4 linked regions of the Saccharomyces cerevisiae S288C genome follow. The gene in region 3 interacts genetically with the main gene of each other region. Each region holds a gene or a part of one and is shown on either strand. Other genes may lie near its edges.

What was found.
Region 1: mutations in PIK1 (region 3) and PFY1 are lethal when combined (synthetic lethality), as found in Saccharomyces cerevisiae (2 studies listed by BioGRID, with this or other methods).
Region 2: mutations in PIK1 (region 3) and SAC6 are lethal when combined (synthetic lethality), as found in Saccharomyces cerevisiae (2 studies listed by BioGRID).
Region 4: mutations in PIK1 (region 3) and ERG2 are lethal when combined (synthetic lethality), as found in Saccharomyces cerevisiae (2 studies listed by BioGRID, with this or other methods).

Annotation. Positions count from the first base shown.
Region 1 is NC_001147.6:550,967-555,205, forward strand, and holds PFY1 (profilin), read right to left. Parts: upstream 1,922-4,239; coding exon 1,909-1,921; intron 1,700-1,908; coding exon 1,332-1,699; downstream 1-1,331. Other genes in the region: glycerol 2-dehydrogenase (NADP(+)) GCY1, read left to right, coding at 148-1,086; Paf1-complex subunit LEO1, read right to left, coding at 2,210-3,604; ubiquitin-specific protease UBP2, read right to left, coding at 3,858-4,239. UniProt on the Saccharomyces cerevisiae protein: Binds to actin and affects the structure of the cytoskeleton. At high concentrations, profilin prevents the polymerization of actin, whereas it enhances it at low concentrations. By binding to PIP2, it inhibits the formation of IP3 and DG.
Region 2 is NC_001136.10:712,057-717,689, forward strand, and holds SAC6 (fimbrin), read right to left. Parts: upstream 3,324-5,633; coding exon 3,303-3,323; intron 3,192-3,302; coding exon 1,284-3,191; downstream 1-1,283. Other genes in the region: MTC5 (Mtc5p), read left to right, coding at 1-939; FIN1 (Fin1p), read right to left, coding at 3,691-4,566; YDR131C (uncharacterized protein), read right to left, coding at 4,734-5,633. UniProt on the Saccharomyces cerevisiae protein: Binds to actin, and functionally associates with actin structures involved in the development and maintenance of cell polarity.
Region 3 is NC_001146.8:139,359-145,736, reverse strand, and holds PIK1 (1-phosphatidylinositol 4-kinase), read right to left. Parts: upstream 4,860-6,378; coding exon 1,659-4,859; downstream 1-1,658. Other genes in the region: PDR17 (phosphatidylinositol transporter), read left to right, coding at 1-174; IST1 (Ist1p), read left to right, coding at 456-482, 588-1,457; LYP1 (lysine permease), read right to left, coding at 5,352-6,378. UniProt on the Saccharomyces cerevisiae protein: Acts on phosphatidylinositol (PI) in the first committed step in the production of the second messenger inositol 1,4,5,-trisphosphate. PIK1 is part of a nuclear phosphoinositide cycle and could control cytokinesis through the actin cytoskeleton.
Region 4 is NC_001145.3:664,380-668,705, reverse strand, and holds ERG2 (C-8 sterol isomerase ERG2), read right to left. Parts: upstream 1,170-4,326; coding exon 501-1,169; downstream 1-500. Other genes in the region: TOM complex pore protein TOM40, read right to left, coding at 1-214; DNA repair protein RAD14, read left to right, coding at 1,662-1,688, 1,773-2,861; ROT1 (Rot1p), read right to left, coding at 3,184-3,954. UniProt on the Saccharomyces cerevisiae protein: C-8 sterol isomerase; part of the third module of ergosterol biosynthesis pathway that includes the late steps of the pathway. ERG2 catalyzes the reaction which results in unsaturation at C-7 in the B ring of sterols and thus converts fecosterol to episterol.

The sequences.
Region 1 (4,239 bases), on a different chromosome or scaffold from region 3:
CTACGGCAGTAAAGAATTGCTTTACTGGGCGTATAAAACCGGGAGAATCAAGACATTCTAATGACTTGATTCAGGATGAGAGCTTAATAGGTGCATCTTAGCAAGCTAAAATTTGGACAGCTCTCATTACTAAATTAAGATAGAAAAATGCCTGCTACTTTACATGATTCTACGAAAATCCTTTCTCTAAATACTGGAGCCCAAATCCCTCAAATAGGTTTAGGTACGTGGCAGTCGAAAGAGAACGATGCTTATAAGGCTGTTTTAACCGCTTTGAAAGATGGCTACCGACACATTGATACTGCTGCTATTTACCGTAATGAAGACCAAGTCGGTCAAGCCATCAAGGATTCAGGTGTTCCTCGGGAAGAAATCTTTGTTACTACAAAGTTATGGTGTACACAACACCACGAACCTGAAGTAGCGCTGGATCAATCACTAAAGAGGTTAGGATTGGACTACGTAGACTTATATTTGATGCATTGGCCTGCCAGATTAGATCCAGCCTACATCAAAAATGAAGACATCTTGAGTGTGCCAACAAAGAAGGATGGTTCTCGTGCAGTGGATATCACCAATTGGAATTTCATCAAAACCTGGGAATTAATGCAGGAACTACCAAAGACTGGTAAAACTAAGGCCGTTGGAGTCTCCAACTTTTCTATAAATAACCTGAAAGATCTATTAGCATCTCAAGGTAATAAGCTTACGCCAGCTGCTAACCAAGTCGAAATACATCCATTACTACCTCAAGACGAATTGATTAATTTTTGTAAAAGTAAAGGCATTGTGGTTGAAGCTTATTCTCCGTTAGGTAGTACCGATGCTCCACTATTGAAGGAACCGGTTATCCTTGAAATTGCGAAGAAAAATAACGTTCAACCCGGACACGTTGTTATTAGCTGGCACGTCCAAAGAGGTTATGTTGTCTTGCCAAAATCTGTGAATCCCGATCGAATCAAAACGAACAGGAAAATATTTACTTTGTCTACTGAGGACTTTGAAGCTATCAATAACATATCGAAGGAAAAGGGCGAAAAAAGGGTTGTACATCCAAATTGGTCTCCTTTCGAAGTATTCAAGTAATTGTTTTTGCGTGTTTCTCGTATGATTGTAATATGTAGATAAATTAAACATAAGTATATCAAATGTCGATATTCTTAAGACTGTTTCGTAAATATGTTAAATACCGGATGTGACTACATATAAAAAGTGCGCCTTTTACAGTGATAATTAGCGTCAATCAATAAAATATTTGTAAAATAGGAAGCGAAATCCCGCAGATGCCAGAATAGGTGGTGTATAAGGCAAGAAAACTTTACCTGCATAAATTAGTATTGAACACCAATCAAGTAGTCAGCCAATTGCTCGACAATCTTGGTGGCCTCACCGGCTTGTACGGTTGGTGGATAATGAGCAATAATAACGGTTTGCTTAGTTCTTACACAAACAACACCCTCAGCATCATGTCTACCGTAGATACTTCTATCGTCAGCTCTCAACAACATGAACTTTTGGCCTTGAATATGCAAACCATTGCTTTGCAAACCAGCTGGATTGTCGAAGCCTTGAACAATTTCACCAATTTCGTTTGGTTGCAAAGATAGGCCACCAGAAGTAGCCCAAACAGCGTCACCTGCTCTCGAGTAGATGACAGCTTTGTCGACTTTACCGGTTCCTATTAAGTTATCAGTGTATGCTGTTTAAAAGTAGGAGAAAAAAACGGAAAGAAATTCATGTTTGAAATTTCATATGTTTTTTGATATTCCAGTTAGTAATTTACTCTGAGTGGTTAATCTTCGAAATTACGCGCATCAACAAAAATCGGGCATTGCCAAACATTGTCACACAAGCTAACCTCCGACTCATTTCTTTCTTAATCAATTGATAATTGTCTCGTTCACATACCTTGCCAAGACATAATTTGCGATCGTAGTTGGGTTTATGTTGTGTATGTAATTTATCTTTTCTCAAGGATCACACAGTTGTTTTAAGAAGGGAATGAGAAAGGGTCAACTGAGCTTTAAAAAGAAAAAAAATATTAATGCGGGTAATGAGTTTCGTACAAAGACATTTCATGGCGTGTTCTCGCCAAAAATCATGGTAAAACCTCCCACACAGTAACCTCATACTAAATACTACAACATGTCATCACTCCATTTCTTTGCGATTGTACATACTAATATATATAAACAAAGTAACGTCTCCTCTAATCCTCGTCTTCGTCGTCCTCGATGACCGCAACCCTTCTTCTTTTTGTCTCGCTCCTATCTTTTTCTTCTTCTTCCTCTTCTCTGTACATTGCTGCTCCTTCTCTTTTTAAATTTCTTAGACGAGAGGCGTTCTCTTCATCCGCGTCCTCTTCTTCTTCTTCTTCCTCATTATCATCCTCTTCGTCGTCAAACGCAGCCTCCTCTTCCTCATCGTCGTCGACTAAAAAGTCATCTTCTTCATATTCATTTCTTCTCGAGGCTCCATAGGTAGTGGGTGAATTTTGCTTTCTAAATCCCGTCTCAAAAGCGGCATCTGGGGATTCTTGTTTCTCCTTTTCTTTGAGCTGTCTTCTCCTTCTGTCTCTTAAAATCTGGCTTTGCTTTCTCTCTAACTCCTTCTTTTCCACTTCAGGATCCATACTTACAATGTATGTTCCAGGACCCTTGCTTTGTCTTTGGTTCCTTCTTATAACAGCTTTACTTAGTTTTTGATGTATTTTTGAATTCGTCGAAGTTGGAATAAACATCAACGTCTTTTTTATTTCACCCCCTTCGTAACACTGGATCAACTCTTGTTGGTCATGCGATACTGTCAAAAAAGTGTTGCTCGTATCGTTGACCAATATATCTGTACACTCTTCACCAACTTTTAGCGAATATGTACCGTCTGACCACTGCACTATTTGTGTATTTGATTCTTTAAAGACATGTTGGTCTTTGTCACGAGAGTATCTCCATCTAACAGTGTTTTCATCAATCAGGCGGTCGTCCAGTTGATCCTCCCTAGAAGCTGAATTGCTTGCCCTTTCGTTTACTTTGGCCTCAAAACTTGGAGGGTCGAAAGGAATTGGATCGATAGTTAAAAAGTTGGGAATTCTAGCATAGAAAATTTCGTTGTGAGACGCCGTTTCATTCACATTAGCTTTACTTGGAATAATATGTCTGACAAGCTCTACATTTTCCTCTTTAAAAGTGTGAGTAGTCTCATCTTGATCAGAAAAGTTATTAGCATCCTCACCATAAAATTTTCGGGTGTACATGGCTTGCTCCTCTGCTTCATCATCATCTAACCCGAGACTTTCTCTATGACGACTTCTATGGTTGATATTCTCTCCCTCGTCGTCTTCATCACTATCACTATCACTTTTTTCAGTCTCCGATTTTTTAACATCATCATCATCATCGTCATCATTGTCATCTCCAAATAAATCATCTAGTTCTGCGTCTTCTTCTTGTTCCTCTTCTTTAGTATCATCATTTCCATTGACTTCCTTGACATTATCATCTTGAGAGCGGCTTGTTTCCTCATTGCTTGTACTATTGGTGGTAACGCCGACGTTATTGCTGATTTGCTCCTTCTGTGGTTGATCCTGTGGGCTTTCAGATGACATCTTAATTATAGTCCAGTATATCTAATTGGATTACTTTGATTGGACGCACCTAGTTTACGCAACCTATCTACTTAACGACTTTCTTCAGCTTTCGTATTCACTTCTATGAGCTTGTTCTTTTTTTTTTTGTTTTTTCGTTTTTCTTTACGTAGCAGATAGTCACCCGTAACGATTGAATATGGCAAAGCTTTTTACATAATAATGGTACTTATGGCAATAGTGACATTTTACATAAACTCTTCATTGACTAAGACTACTTTAGAATTCTTTTCAATGGCTCAATATCACCTTCTTGTCCTTGTTTGACATATACTAGGAAATATGGAGTTGCAGTGTTACCCTCATTGAAATTGAAGACCTCCTCTTCCTGGACCTCACTGATGGTTTCATCATTGTACTTCCTCCAAATTCCATTGCGATTTCTGTCCTTGATATATATCCAATAGTGACCATAACTGGCCTCGCCGCGATGAATAAAAACCGAAAACAGTGAGTAACCATATTCCTTGAAATCGTCAAATTGATGGCTTATTTTCTCTTCCAAACTGTTGATATCATTGTATAATTTCATCAATTCATTATCGATATTTTGAACGTTGTTTCTCAGCGTCTTTATCACATCATTAGCAGCCTCA
Region 2 (5,633 bases), on a different chromosome or scaffold from region 3:
TACGATCCTTATACTACTATATGGAATAACCATCCCATGGGGATAAAGTGGTTCATAAAGGAAGCGATTGTCTACTTTGAGAGGCAACAAAATTTACAGATGCTGGCCATGTTATGCTGTGTCATATTAAGCGCCAGGAGAAAAAAGATTCCAGCCAGATATTATGGGCAAGAATTAGAGAATATGGAAGGAACCATTGTGTTTAATGACAACGAAAGTCAAAACACATCATTTTGGAAAGGATCTGATGCTTTTTCCACCAGGTCTAGGAGTAGCACTGTTACACCAAATTTTTATGGTAATCATTTGAGAGGAAAAAACATTCATGGAGGAGACAACTCCTCAATAAGGTCCGACGACCACCACGCTAGGTTAAGGACGCACAACACTCTTAATGGTAGTAGTAAATTTACGGAGCCGGCCCAAAAGCAGGGCAGCCGTGCCATTTCATCCAGCCCTTTTCATAGTAGAATGCCTGACATCAAAGTCGAGCTTTTACATGACGATATTATAGAAGCTTATGAACAAGAAGACCTCTTACATTTAGAGGTATCAGACATACCAAAGTTCCAAACTTATATTTATCAATATTCAAAGTTACTTTTTAGATGGGGACTGCCTTTAGAAAGGGTCAAAATTCTAAAAGTTAGTACTGATTTCAGAAGTTCTTATAGTTCCCAAGGCATCCCCCCTAACAATAACAAGAAAAGTCCTTACAATGGTGTACTTACGCACTGGATCGAGAACAACGAGTTTGGAGAAGAAAAATTCCTAGCCCGAAATTGTAATTACTGTGATTTAAGAGTGACAAGAAGTAGCTTCATATGTGGAAATTGTCAACATGTTTTACACTCTTCGTGCGCGAGGATATGGTGGGAGATTGGTGATGAGTGCCCATCTGGATGTGGGTGCAATTGTCCGGAAATGTTCGATGCCTAAAAGCTTAACTATCACGTACATTTTCTGCATATTTCAAAGAACCTTGGATGTATATGAAAAAAAGTTCACAGGATATATGGCTTAATAAGTAGTTTATTTACGATTTTTTAATCCAGTAGAGGCATGATAGAAGACGACAACGGAATCATTGAGCGTTGGAGGCATTTTTACAATGGCTCAGTAATCACGAATAAAAGTAGGTGGAAGTTGAAATCTATTATTACATATTAAAAACTTCAGAAATACTTGAGGCTATATATTGTTGTACACTTAACCAATCGTATAACGGAGCATTGGAACAAGAAAGCTGAGTAGAAAACAGGTTACGAAAGTTGTTTGTTGGCTCATTTGTTCAAAGTCATTAACGAAGCGATAAAAGTAATAATTAATCTTGCACGAACTTCGTTGATATCTTCTGGCACCAACCAAATCAAAGCACCCAACTTTCTAGCAATAGAAATAGCCAATCTTGCGTTTGCGTACCTTTCTTCCTCGGTGTTACCAGGGGTGACTAGATCATAATCAACATAGCCCGGCGCGATACCATTCAGAACATCCAATAAGAAGTGGGCGTTTGATAAAGCTTGGTCCTTAAATGATCTAATGGTAGAGTTTTTACCACCTTTAGTTACCTGGTCTTGGGCCCACTTTAATATTTGAGAATCACTCATGTCTCTACCACTTGAGGATAATGTCTTCATGGTTATCGAAATATTTCTACGCATCAATTGCCACACTAACCCTAAGGTCAGTAATTTGTTACCATCTACAATATCAGATCCTTCGATACCAACCAAAGAAAATCCTTTGGCTCTGCCCAAGTCGACTGCATAGTTGGTGTTTTCTAAGGCTTTGAATCTGGATATCTCTGCACCCGAGGCCGGTCTTTTGTTGACATGTTTAAAATCAACAGCACCGGGCATCACCTTTTCGTAAGCTTGCAATAATATCAAACCATCCTTCAAATCATCAAACAGCGAAATGACAGGTGGATCAACGTCAAGAGAGTTCAACCATAAGGTAAAGACTCTTGCCTCTCTCTCACCTTCGGCGTCAAATTCTTCAATTTCAGGCTTTTCCTCTTCCTGAATAGGCTCTAATCCAGGATGTGTATTGAATAGATGTGCCACGAAAGCCAGGTTTAATTTAGGGTTCCCCGCAACTAATGAACTTGGGGTTAAATACTTTCTACAATCTAGCTTTTCAGCATTTTGTAAAACTTGCTCAGCTCTCTCCATTAAATCTGTGGTTTGTAATGGTGCCTTAGAACACAAGGCGGGGTCCAACTGGTTCAACAAGATAGTATAGTTTTCACCATCAGACACGTCTTTTGAAAAATTGGTAACCCTTCTGTTCCAGTTTGCTTGCTTCAAATGGTAGTTAAACCAACGTAGTAGAATTTGCTCCGGAGGCAACCTCAAAAATTGCTCCAACGTTTCATCATCCTCCAATAGACGGTATAACTCAGGATGCAGCTTAATATCAATTTTACTTAACAAACCTCTCCTAATAATTTGCCAAATCAAACCCAGGATCAAATGCTCTCTACCTTCAATAATGTCCTCGGAATGAACATTAACAACGACACAACCAATGGCTTTTGCAGAATTAATAACAATATTAGCATTTTCACTAGCCTGAAAATTATTCAATTCCTTACCCTTCTTAGGCCAATTCAAAACTCTTGTATCGATAGTATCAGGAACAGAGTCGTTGATCAACTTAGATAGCACCAACCCATCCCTACATTCATCAAATAATTGGAAAGTATCAGTAGGAAATGGAAGCAAATCACCTATATCTTGGTCTCCCGCCAAGACGCTATTGATATGTTTAGTAAATTCACGTCTTTCTTCTTCATTGATGGTATGTGTAGTACCTGTTTGGGAGCCAGCAACAATAATCTTGGCTTGAGTACCCTTACCCTTGTGCTGTAGTCCTGTGGCAGCAGTGGAAACAATAGGGGTTGAGTTAGGTGCTACGTTGAAAGTGGTCTGTGGAGCAGCTCCTGTTTTAGATTCTCTTAATTTTGCAACCAACCCGACGTAATCGTCCAGTTCAACACGGCCTGACGCATCCACACCCACATGCTTCAGGGTTTCTCTTGCTTCGTCATAAGTAGCATCACCATCTTTGGACACCGCTTCTAGAGCTTGCTGTTTTTCAACCCATCCTTTATCATCTAAGTCAATGGCTCTGAACTTTTCAATTGTGGAAAAAAGATCCTCTTGAGTCAAAATTGGAAATTTTCTCTAATCGCAGAAGAGTTTGTTAGTATATGAAACGTTTATTACAACCTAAAAGGTAGAAAAAACTTTTTCACTGTGCTCAGCAGTGTGGGAATTCGAGAAAGGCATACATACTTGTAATTTGACAATATTCATTGTGTTTTGGTGTACTCCTTAGGGCTAATATATCAGCTTCTTCTCTGATAATTTTAGTGTAAAGAGCTTTCTTGTTCTCCTGAAATAACCAAAATTTATATCGATAAATCTTCATTATAAACTTCGCCCCGTACTTTTGATATTTTTCCGCCTCCCGAGGAGTGCTTTTTCACATGAAGGCCATCGGGAACAAGAAGAAAAGCCGTTCACGTAAGAAAATAGGACCCTATATCCGGTCAGGATCACTCAAGCTGTATGTAAATGTAATATAGACAAAGCACCTTTAACTGCTAAGAATTAATTATAGTGTCGGAAATATAACATAACTTGCTTACTTCCTGTGTAAAAAATGTGAGAAGGGATATGATTACTTATGTTTCGGTATTTCCGTGAGTTGAAGTTCGATATTGGATAATCTTGATTCAATCTCTCGCTGTCTTCTCAACATTTGTAGTAGCAAGTCCTTTATTTCTTTAAGTTCCACGGTTTCTTCAGTCACTATATTATCAGGTAGTTTAAATTTTACACTTTTCTGGAAACTAGCTTTGTGTATCTTACCTTCGTTCGCCAGCATGGAATTCAGTTTAGTGTTCGATTTAGTAAGGGATTCTATGCCATTTCCCACGTCTTCCTCTTCTTTCTTGAGTTCAACTAATAAATTCTTCCCTTTCAATTTAGCTCGAGGAAGGTCATTCTCAAATGGGGCGTCCTTGAGCTCAGTATTAGAACAGAGGTCAGTGTTGCTTTTGGCATCCGATGGGAGAATATGTTGCTGCTGTTGCTGCTGTATCCTTTCAGGTGACATGAGTCCATTCTTAAACCGGGCCCGTATTCTCGTTAACGAACCATCACCCCCGATTTTATTTTCATTACTGAATGTCAGTTTGGTTGGTGATGTAGGGAATATTATATTAGTTATATGATCTGAGTTTTGGATCTTCACATTTTTATTCGAATTTTTGAACTGAGGCCTATCCAGGCTTTGAGTTTCCTTAGAGACATAGCCCTTCAGACATTCCGGCGACATAATCCTTCTTGGTGTTACTTGTATACTATGCTTCATTCCATCTGTCTTGTTAGGTGATATCCTCATAGGTGGTTTCAAAAACTCTTTTTGGCTTGTCGTCCTCAAAGGGGACATACTCAATCTCACAAAGACATTGTCCTTGTCACTTGGTATATTATTTCGACCAATCGTATTCCCTATGTCACGTAAACTCCTGCGGTTGCTTTTATTGCTCATAATTTGTTTTATTGAACTATGTCACATCACTGCAATCCAGTGAGAACACTGAGAAAGCTCTAACTAGACTATACAATCCATTTGTTTTGATTTCCTCTTGTTGACAATTTGCAGTATTTAGAGTATATATCATTATGTACGTGTTATAACCGCCATGTCTCACAGTATCAACTAAATAGAGCTTCTGCGTCCACCAATTCATAAACAGAGTTGCTTTTATAGCCATTATTATAGAAGAGGGGAACCGCGCATCGTTGTAACTCGTCCACTTGTATTATTTTTGTAGGTATACCGTTGATGGTTAGATATTCTAAGTTCGGCAAACTTTGCTCAAAAACTTTAAATACGTCTTTTAGATAATGAAGGTATAAGTGGTACAAACTAATGGCATCTTCTCTAGTAATTTTATTCACTGTAATATTCTCAGTATTTTCTATGGTGCTTTGCAGATTTTCATTGAACTTTCGTACAAACGTTTCAATAGGTACAGAATCCCATCCCATCGCAGGTGATTCGTTGTCAATAATGTTTGTATAGGGCATGATCTTGTTCTCGAAAAACATTTGGTAAAAGAAATTATGGGCTTGGAACTTATTTGGGTTCTTTAAAAGTTTTGACCGGGTTTCAGGAAAGATTTTTTTTAGAATGACCTCGTGAATTGTATTTTTGCAAGTTGAACAAGGGCAGAAACCATCGAAATTCAAGCGAGTTAGTGGGTTATCTGTCATGGGAAAAAAAAGCCTGTGATTTAGTTGGCAGTGTATGTCAAAACGCTGTAATTTTTTGCCACACACTTGTTTAGATAAGAAGTTAATCAACGACACATCGAAGTCAAATTTACCCATGTAATCAAGTTTCAGTATCTTTAAATTGTGAAACACAGCCAAACAATTCATTAGAAAAAATTCGCTGTAAACCAATGACGCTAATGATAGTTTCTCAATGTTCGGAAATTTCCAAAATCCTTCTAGCCCCCATTTGACATATAACCTGTCAAAACCACCTTCTTCGCCAGAGGGAAAATCGTCGCGACTGTACCAAGACAAAATCTCTAGCTGCCTTAAGGT
Region 3 (6,378 bases):
GACTTCAAGTATAAACATGAAGTCTATTGGCCAGATATGGTTAAGAAAGTTGACGATTTACGATTGAAACGTTTTGATAGATTTTTAAAGTTTGGAGGCATTGTCGGATTAAGTGAATATGACACCAAGGGCCAACATGACGAATTAAAATATCCTGTTGATATGGTCATTTGATAAACTATAATTAAGATTTTTTTTTTTAACGTTTCCCGCTACACAAACGTATATATCTAGACTCAGATGTACGTTTATAATGGCTGCTTATGCGCTTATCGCATTTTATATACTTTTAGAATCAACTGAATCGGCTATCCGCACTCTATTGTTTTGTTTCATGAAAAAAAAAACGCCTTCTGAATTCCAAAGGGTGTGAAAATTATATATACTATTAGTTCCAGCTAATCAATCAGAACTAGTCAACATAGAAGATAGATAAGAGAATACGACAACTAAAAATGGCTCCGTCAATGATTCCGTTCACTGTATGTTTATATTTTATAGTAATTTTTAAAAAGCTTTAGTATGCAAAAGATCTAGGATGTACTAACTGAAGAAGGGTAAAACTATCATCCAAATTATTGTTATAGATCAAGCTTAAAACATGCCTGAAAATGTGTATTCAAAGGTTAAGATATGCTCAAGAAAAGCAACAGGCGATTGCAAAGCAGTCTCGAAGACAGGTTGCACAACTGTTACTGACAAATAAAGAACAGAAGGCGCATTATCGTGTGGAGACGCTAATTCATGACGATATTCATATTGAGCTACTAGAGATATTGGAACTATATTGTGAATTACTACTGGCTAGAGTGCAGGTAATAAACGATATCTCCACCGAGGAACAGCTTGTCAAAGAGCATATGGATGATGGTATTAACGAAGCTATCAGATCCCTAATCTATGCGATTCTTTTCGTTGATGAAGTCAAAGAACTTAGCCAATTGAAAGATTTGATGGCCTGGAAAATAAACGTTGAGTTTGTTAATGGAGTAATAGCAGATCATATCGATGTCCCTGAAAAGATTATAAAAAAATGCTCTCCCTCAGTTCCAAAAGAAGAACTAGTTGATCTTTATTTGAAGGAAATCGCGAAAACATACGATGTGCCATATAGTAAGCTGGAGAATTCCTTATCTTCGTCGTCTTCTAACATTTCTTCAGACTTTAGTGACCCCTCGGGAGATATCGAGGATAATGACGAAGAAAAGCCTATTTTAGCCTTAGATAATGACGATAATGACAATGCAGATGCTAAACACCCTATCACTGTTAAAAAGCCTAGGCAGAATAGTGAAAATATCAAGAACGAGCTCAAGATTCCGAAAGATATCAAAAAGGAAGTGATCGAAAAGAAACAATCAGAAAAGAAAACTACAAAAAGAAAGACTAAGAAGGAGCAAGAAAATGATGAACTAGATGAGTTGAAGAAACGGTTTGACGCTTTACGCAGAAAATAAGATAATAATTTATATGTATGGTTAATTAACCACATATTTATTTTACTCTCATTCTTTTACCTTGCTTTTTCTGAGTCAGCTGCTCTATTATTCTCGGCAATAAATAAATATATGTATATTCCTTTTACTAAAATTCCAATTTTTTTGTTCTCCGGACATTTGCAAATTGTTTTTCCAGTTCTGTCACAGCTATTTTCCTTCTCAGCTATATATACCCTGTGTAATAAGTTGAAATTGGTCGTATATTCTGGTGTAAATACTACCCAAAGATTTACCTATCAAGAAATTTTCTACGAAGTCATCAACTTCTTTTTCTGATAAGTCCAATTGGAACCTTTGTCGTAGTTGTACACTTGTTTGTTCGCCAGCATCGAAACAAGGCTGCATATTGTCCTTTTGCATAATCTCACACATTGATACGATTTGATCAGCATACTTTCTCAGAGCCTTGAACGAACTTTTAGTTAGTTCAACAAACTTTTTAAACGCTTCTCCCTCTACTCCGCCTAGCAGTTCAATATATTCGTAAGTTAATTTGAATGGTGCGGCCTCAAAGCCCACTGAGCCGGGTGAATTTGATAGCATAAATCCAAAATCGATGTGACTTACATGGCCTTCGTTATCGATCATAATGTTACCGTTGTGTCTATCTTTAACCTGCAAGAGATAGCAAATGACAGAATATGCGGCTAACGAAGAAGCAAAGTTGTCTTGTGCTCTTCTATACTTAAATCCATTAGGATTACCAAAAGCTCTAAGGAAGTGATCATTCAAAGAGGCAATACCACCCTTGTCATCTAGTTCTGCATCTTCAATCATTTTTTTGGTTAAAGCCTTTTTAATACTATGCACAGACATAGCATTTGTGATGGTCTCCACAAGTCCCGTATTCGCACTAGTAATTAAAATTTTCATTCTTTTAACCCAAACGTCAACTTTTTCTTTAACCCAAATATTGGCCATCGCTTGAATCATCTGGTATGCAAACGCCTCCTGTCTCAAATCATCACCCGTCTTGGCGATTACAGAACATAAATCCCAGTTTTCGAAATGGCCATATTCCGAAGTTTTACGTATCCTCTCTTTCTTGGTAGCCCAATCTTCACCTAGATATGAAGTGTCAATACCACCCGTCATTAAATCGTTTTCCAATTTTCTCTCACCTGCCATTCCATGAAGGGCTTCCAAATCATGGTAACCAAATTTATCCTGCACCTCCTTCATTGATGAAATAATTTGAGCGCGGATTTGTTTGGTACTTTCTGATAACTGTTGTGGCGACTTATCCAATTGTGCTAACATAACAGCTGAAACTCTCATCTGGTCTGCTAAAGCGTCAGTTTGGCTATGTATATTTTTGCTATTAATTCCATTCTCGATGAGTACTTCGTCCAAGTTTGAGCCAAAGTTCAACTCTGGGCTTCTGTCTTGACTATCATCAGGTAAAATTGGAACATTTGCGGCACTCTGTATTACTAAAGCATTTCTATACGCTTCGTCATCCGTTCTGTTCCTGACTTTTACCATTGACATATCACCTAAATCTTCCTCTTTATTGACTTCAGTCCTAACATGAGCTGTGGACGCTGAATCACTTCTTGAGGTACTGGATAGACCTTCATTGCGGGAGGCCCCGTTGTTGAACGAGTTACTATCATATACCGAAGATCGAGTGTTGTTGCTAGTAAGAGTACTTTCATTTCTATTTTCGTTGTTTTCTTTTCTATTCATGTAATTTAAATCAAATATCAAGCCTCCCTGATTACCACTGATCTTCTTTAATAATCTTTCATTGGTTTCACTTGTTGGGTCAAAATCAAATTCGTCTCTCAAGTATTCTATCAGGAGTAAATATGGAACTTTTTCTGCAGAGTTCAAAACTTGTGCCTCATTAGCAGTAATGGTCACTAATTTATGTAACTTTCCTTTTTTATTTGGAGGCAATAAAGTGGGGATATCTACTTCCGCTGGTAGGTCCCTGTTTAATAGAAACAACTCGGCTCGTAAGGCACTCAATCTAGCTTCTGTCGGTACTCGAGCTAGCCTTTGAGATATTGTTTCTAGCGCAATGGCAAATTGTGTCTCGCAACGAAAATAATTTGCTTTTAACATTTTTATTTTTGAAGTGGTCGATAATTGCGACAAGTCAATTTCTTGACTCAAAGAAGAATTCGCTTTTTTACTGTTTTTGAATGCCTGGCGCGAAAGGGGTTGGGAATTGGTCCTGTTTAACTTAGGTGTCCCTTCTAAAGAAGCAGATGAAGCAGAAGAAGTCCTTGGTTGAATATTATGCAGATCTGGCATAGAACTGGTGAAGTGATCAGAGTTTAAAGCGTCCGCGTCCTCCTCCGTTTCACCACCAGTTTCATCTTCATTGTTACCAATCTCATTATTTTCATCATTACGTCCCTTTGGAGAAATATAATCACCTTTATTTCCATCGAGAGCCTTTGCGGTATTTGAAATGCTTCCGTCCCTGTTTATATTTTTGCCATCATATGTCCTATGAACGTATGAATTATCCAAATACTTAGGTTTACGTTTTGGGAGTTTGATTGAAGATGAGATTCTTTCTTCAAAGACCTGGTTACCTATATCATCCACAATGTCGAAATCCAATTTTACCTCACTATGTCTGGATTTCCTGAAGGATGCATCTTCTTTAGTTTTTATTGGATCTATTAAATCTATTGGAGAAGTCGGAGTTGAACTGCGATTTGAGCTAACTCTTTTGGATCTGGAAGTTTTCTTGTTTAGTAGGGTATTTTTCAAGGTCATGTTCTTGGTAAAATCTTTCATTGCACTTCTAGCCAACTTAAAAACGAAAGCTTTTTGTCTTCTACCTTGAGATTCCACTAATGGTTTGGTCACTTCGCTTAATTGGGGGAATGCTATAGCCGACATTATCATAGAGGAAAGAACTAAGGCCGGTGCAACGTTTTCATGTATTTTAACATTTTTATCGCTACCTGAACTTGTGTTAAAGAGATTGGTTTGTAAGTTGTTTAAGACTCTTCTAGCCACTTGGAAGCCATAAGAAGCGGGGTCAGTAGATAAATCCGTTAGTAACGCTTGTAACTGCCAAAACGTCAGTAGTGCAAAATGAGGGTTTTCCGCCCTCAACCTTAATAGTAAATCTTCTAAAGCCATTGATTCTGTCTCCATGGTGACGAGGACCTGTACTAGTTGGGGAATATAGAACTGTAGTTCGCTGTGAGGAAATGTGGCCAATTTCTGACATAAATAGTAATGTATACCAATATTTTCGGAGTGTTTGCACAGTAACTCCACACAATTGTGAAGGGTGAATTCACTAGAGTTGATCAGTTTCAGTAATTGTTCATTTTTTTTTAGTTCAATAGTATCATCAAAGCTTTTCTTTGAACTGGATGCTTTATGCATAGTGAAGAGAACGAATGCTTAATGAAAACGAACGCTCGCAATGAAGAAAAATGATAAGCTAATTGAAAATTTCTAGCAGGGTCCAGGGATCTTCTTAATATAGAAGTTGGGCCTAAAAAATGAAGGGTCTTCAGTATAAGATCTTGTACTTTTAGTTTTTCTCTAACGAATTTTTTGGTAGGGTTCTTTTGTTTCAGTGCAATAACACGAAAATGACAACAGTTGAACATATCGTGAATAATGACCCTGTTATACACGCTATCAAGTACGTAAAGGATAATATGGAAAATTTATTATAGATTTGAGTACTATCGCTGGCCGAAGGTGACAATGGCCTTATGATGTAACATACTATGAATAGTGAATAATAAGTGGTGATATTATACATAAAGTTTGGGGCAATCCCTCAAAATCTCTACAGGCTATTTTGATTAATGAAACGTCTATTTTTTTATTTTTTTCTATTTTGAAGGCATGCAAGAGGTTCTGTGACTATGCAACAGCAGCCCAGAATTTCTCCCATAAATTCTTAGGCTCGTCGTCTTCCCAAATAATTGCTTCGATTTCTCTTCTGTCGGAATCGATGTCAATATCTTCTAGCTTCCAAATAAATCTGCATTTGTAGTATATCTGGCAACCAATGAACACAACGGCTAAAAGAATCAAGGAGATGTAAGATGTGAAAAACTCAGAAACTTTGAACGGACAGAACGCTTGGAACCCTTGGATGAATATGATGACGGTGACAAAAAAGGCTGCGTAGTAGGCACCATAAGGCATCAATTTGGCCTTGAAGGGCAGATCATCACGAGAAATACCACGGTGCTTTAAAGCTTGCATGAACCTAATATGTGCCAAAGAGATGAATAACCAGGCGCATAACCCAGCCAAAGTGGAAATGTTGATCAACCAGTTAAATGCAGTGTTTGCATTGTTATTGACAACCAGGAATGCCAAAAGACCCAATGCAGCAGTGCAAACAACACCGAGATATGGAACACCCTGTCTGGTGACGTATCCAAATTGCTTTGGTGCGTTACCAGTCCTAGCTAAAGAGTAAAGAACACGGGAACCAACGTAAACATTCGAATTAGCGGCAGATACAACAGTAATCAACACCACGGCGTTGAAAATATCTGGAAGAGCATAAGTACCAGCGTTTTGAATGGAAATAACGAAGGGTGATGATGCAATAACAGCAGAACTAGCAGATAAACGGGAATCGTTGTATGGAACCAGTAGACCAATAAAGAACAAAGACATAATATAGAATAGTACGATTCTAAAGACGACTTTATTGATAGCTCTTGGAACGGTCTTTCTTGGGTTAGCCGCTTCACCAGCGGTGATCCCAACCAGTTCAGTACCTTGGTACGTAAATGCAGCATTAATCAAGGAGGAGACCCATCCGAGAAAACGGCCTTCACTTTTATCACTGGAGATGATGCCTGGCCCCCAGGCTCCTGGATTTCTCCAGTACCTGAAACCGATAGGGCCCTGGTGGGATCCACCGCAGACA
Region 4 (4,326 bases), on a different chromosome or scaffold from region 3:
GGGAGACTTCCTTATTCAGGTTTTCCACGGTACCGGGATTGACCAGCTCCAAAGATTGTCTGTGAGAATGCAATTGTTTGTACGTATCCACAACAAAGCTAGATATTGGGTTTGAGGAGAAGAAATTCCCCTTGGATTGCTTCGCAGTCAAAGGAGAAAGGGCCGGGATAGTGGGAATTTGAGAGGCCTCTGCTAATGGAGTTGGTGCAGACATGATTCACGTCGGTTATTGGTAGTCTTTTATTGTTTTGCACGATGGTTAAAAGGCCTTATACGCATACACCGCTTTCAAAGAATTGAAGATTGAGTTCATGTCCACCAAAAGACGCCTTTTTCACTTTTTGCAAACGCCGAATATATCCGTCGTCGTAGGTGATAAAAAGCTAAAGAGAATATAAACAATAGATAATAATAATAATAATAATAATAGTAATAGTAATAATAATAATAGTTATATTATAATGGACTACCGCATGACTGATTTCGTGAGGTCGGGCAGCTTAGAACTTTTTGTTTTGCAACAAGTTCTTACCCATGTCCCTGGCAGTCAGGTAGACAGTTCTATATAGAGTGTATAAATCAAGAGTACTGGAGAAAGTGTCCAAAAACCCGAATGGCAACATACATGGAATCCAGCCTTGAGCCAATTCAAGGGCAAAGGAACCACCTGGCATGCTGTATTGCTTGGCGTATCCCTTCTTCAAGTGATGAGTCATACCAGGAGTGTAAACTTCGGCTTCAGTGGCATATGGCAATGCTGCGATTTGCGTACCATGTAAGATGGTAAAATAGTCGTCAGCAAAGTGAACACCTGTGTGCCCTTCAGTACCAACAGCGGTTCCGAATAGAATTAAGTACTCGGATACGGAAGCGTGTAGGATGATCATTTGGCCCATCGCACCACCAGCATTGTTGAAGACCCATTCTTCTTTGACGTACCTGTTGATGTATTCGTCCCCGTAATGAGAGGCAAGTGCGTCTCTGACATCCTGTAACAGGTCTTCAGTGGATAAACCTTCTGCTGCGTTGTGTTTGCTAATCACCGAGTTACATATTTCGTTCAAAGTTTTTGGATCGAACATGTAATTGGTTGGCAACCAGGTAGTGAACAATACGTTCATAATGTAGCCTACAACACCAATCAACAAAAGGAGTGGGAAAAACTTCATGGCTATAATGGTCTGGGCTAGTCTTAGTTTGATTGAGCGACAAGAGAGATCTGAACCCAGTGTCAAACGTTACCGCTTCTTTCTCTTATATACCATGGCGCTGCAGATCTATCCAAATTCTTCCATACTGAAAATCATCCAAACGAGAACGATAGCACCGGTAGTTTTCCTTGCGGCTTATACGAGGGCCGTGGTTCGATTCTGCCCTGGAGCGTAAGGGCAGGAATGTGCATTGCATAAGATCATAATGGGATACTTCGTTGATAATAAGCAGAATCAACATAGCAGACTGCTAGTGGCATACTCCACAACCCTTGTTTTTTTTTTTTTTTTTGTTTGAATAACTGTACTTCTATAGAAGCTCTATCTACAGCATGTTTGACGTTTGCTAAGTTGTAGGGAGAAAAGAGGAAAGTGAAAAGAAGGTAAGGAATTTATCGGAACTAGAAAAAGAGTTTGGATCTTCGTAGTGAAGGTATCGAACGTAACGCTATGACTCCCGAACAAAAGGCCAAACTAGTATGTGTGAAAATGATTCTGTGTTTGTATTTTAACCGTGGGTTTCTTTTTACTAACAATTTAACGATGAGATGAGCTGTGCAGGAGGCTAACAGGAAATTAGCAATAGAACGGTTAAGAAAAAGGGGAATACTGAGTAGCGACCAATTGAATCGAATAGAAAGTAGGAATGAACCTTTAAAAACCCGGCCTCTCGCAGTTACTAGTGGCAGCAATCGGGATGATAATGCAGCAGCCGCAGTACATGTGCCAAATCATAATGGACAACCGTCTGCGCTTGCTAACACTAACACTAACACTACTTCACTTTATGGTAGCGGAGTAGTTGATGGAAGTAAAAGGGATGCGTCGGTACTCGACAAAAGGCCAACGGATAGAATCAGACCTAGCATAAGGAAACAAGATTACATTGAGTACGATTTTGCCACCATGCAGAACTTGAATGGTGGTTATATCAACCCTAAGGACAAGCTTCCAAATTCTGACTTTACCGATGACCAAGAATTTGAATCTGAGTTTGGATCTAAAAAGCAGAAGACACTACAGGACTGGAAAAAGGAACAACTTGAACGGAAAATGCTGTACGAAAATGCACCTCCTCCAGAGCATATTTCAAAGGCGCCGAAATGTATTGAATGTCATATTAATATTGAGATGGATCCTGTGCTACATGATGTGTTCAAGTTACAAGTTTGTAAACAGTGTTCTAAGGAGCATCCAGAAAAGTATGCACTACTGACGAAAACAGAATGTAAGGAAGATTACTTTTTAACAGACCCCGAATTGAATGATGAGGATCTCTTTCATAGACTAGAAAAGCCGAACCCTCATTCGGGGACATTTGCAAGAATGCAACTATTTGTTAGATGTGAAGTGGAAGCCTTTGCGTTCAAGAAATGGGGTGGAGAAGAAGGTTTAGATGAGGAATGGCAACGTCGTGAAGAAGGAAAGGCTCACAGAAGGGAGAAAAAATACGAAAAGAAAATCAAGGAAATGCGACTGAAAACAAGAGCTCAAGAATATACTAATAGATTAAGAGAAAAGAAGCATGGGAAAGCCCATATTCATCATTTTAGTGATCCAGTTGATGGAGGTATTGATGAAGACGGTTATCAAATTCAAAGAAGAAGATGTACAGACTGCGGGCTAGAAACTGAAGAAATTGACATTTAAATGTTGGTTATGTATATAAGAATATAACAAGAAAGTCATAATAAGGTGTTTTGATTGTGTTCATTGATTGATATCCCATTTGTCACTCGTACATAATTAACTATCTCGGAAAAACTGGTTTGAAAATCTTTTATTCATCCACCTTATTTAATAATATGATTACAATCAATTCCTTGGGTGCATAAAATTACACCTATTCTTGCTTCTCTTTCTCGCCTGATAAAGTTGTTTTGCCTTATATGTTTATAGTTTTTAATATTTATTTGAAGGCCACATGGGGCCTCTTTCCCCCATTGGTTGAATAAGTATCCCTGTAGTGCGCCTAAAATGCTAAAAATAATAATGAACCTACACCTAGCATACCCGCAGAAATATACCAAATGGCATTGGAGGTTAAAAATGAGGTATTTTGTCTTTTAATGGCATTCGTCTTGTGTCTGTTTTCCAGGCTCCTCCTCACTAAACTTCTCAGTGATCTTTTCTTATTAGAGGATGGGTCGTCAGTGCTGGTCGCTGACGATGTTGGGTTCAAAGTTTCTGTTGGAAGCATCATTGGTGGTCTATAAGCCAAATATAGTGGTTGCATTGGAGTACCATCATATTGGTACAATTGCAGGGTGTAAATACCATGGTAAGGATCTATACCTACGGCATATTCCTTGAAAGTTTCTGTTTGGTTATATCTAGAATAAGTCGAAACTCCGTCATCATTGCATGGGTCGCTGAATAGTTGTCTACCGTCAACTTCAATAGGATTCAGAACTAACGTACCGTTTTCTGAAATGTTATATGTACCATGCTGATAAATCAACGAAGCCATGGGGCAAGTTGGGTTACGAGGATTGCCACTTACCTGGTAAGTAGCTTCTTCGTACCAACCATCTTCAGTGAACGAATAGCTAAGCCCGGGCAATGAAGGTTCTATCAATAGTTCATCTACGGGATCATAAAACCCCGGTCCCGTGAACACTTGATTTGATTTAGATGACCAGGTACCGTATATAGAGTTACTTTCGTCTTCACAATAGACCTTTTGAGCAAACAAATACCCGCCTAAGATTAGCTTTTTTAATGTAAACTTTTTCGACCACATAGTAATAAAGTGCAACAAATAATAATGGTTATAATACCGATCCTTTCCTCAGAATGATGTCTTACTTCAGTTTAATATGCCGGTAGGTTCTCGAAAAAGATGAGATCTCAAGCTTTAGTATGACTATATATCTATAATCTTAGAGAGGCTTTCTATTTATAACTGTTTGCTAATTACTACTCTCCTTTGCTTACCGCAAACGTTAGAACGAAAGGAAGAAAAAAATACTGGAAAATCGCGTCATCTTTTCCGTTCATGATGATAATTATATCAATCGTTGAAAGAATATTGGTATATTACTATTCAGCTGGTTTCAGGTGAAGAATATTGAGGCTAGATGTTTGTAGGTGGGCATTAAAATTATCTGGTATT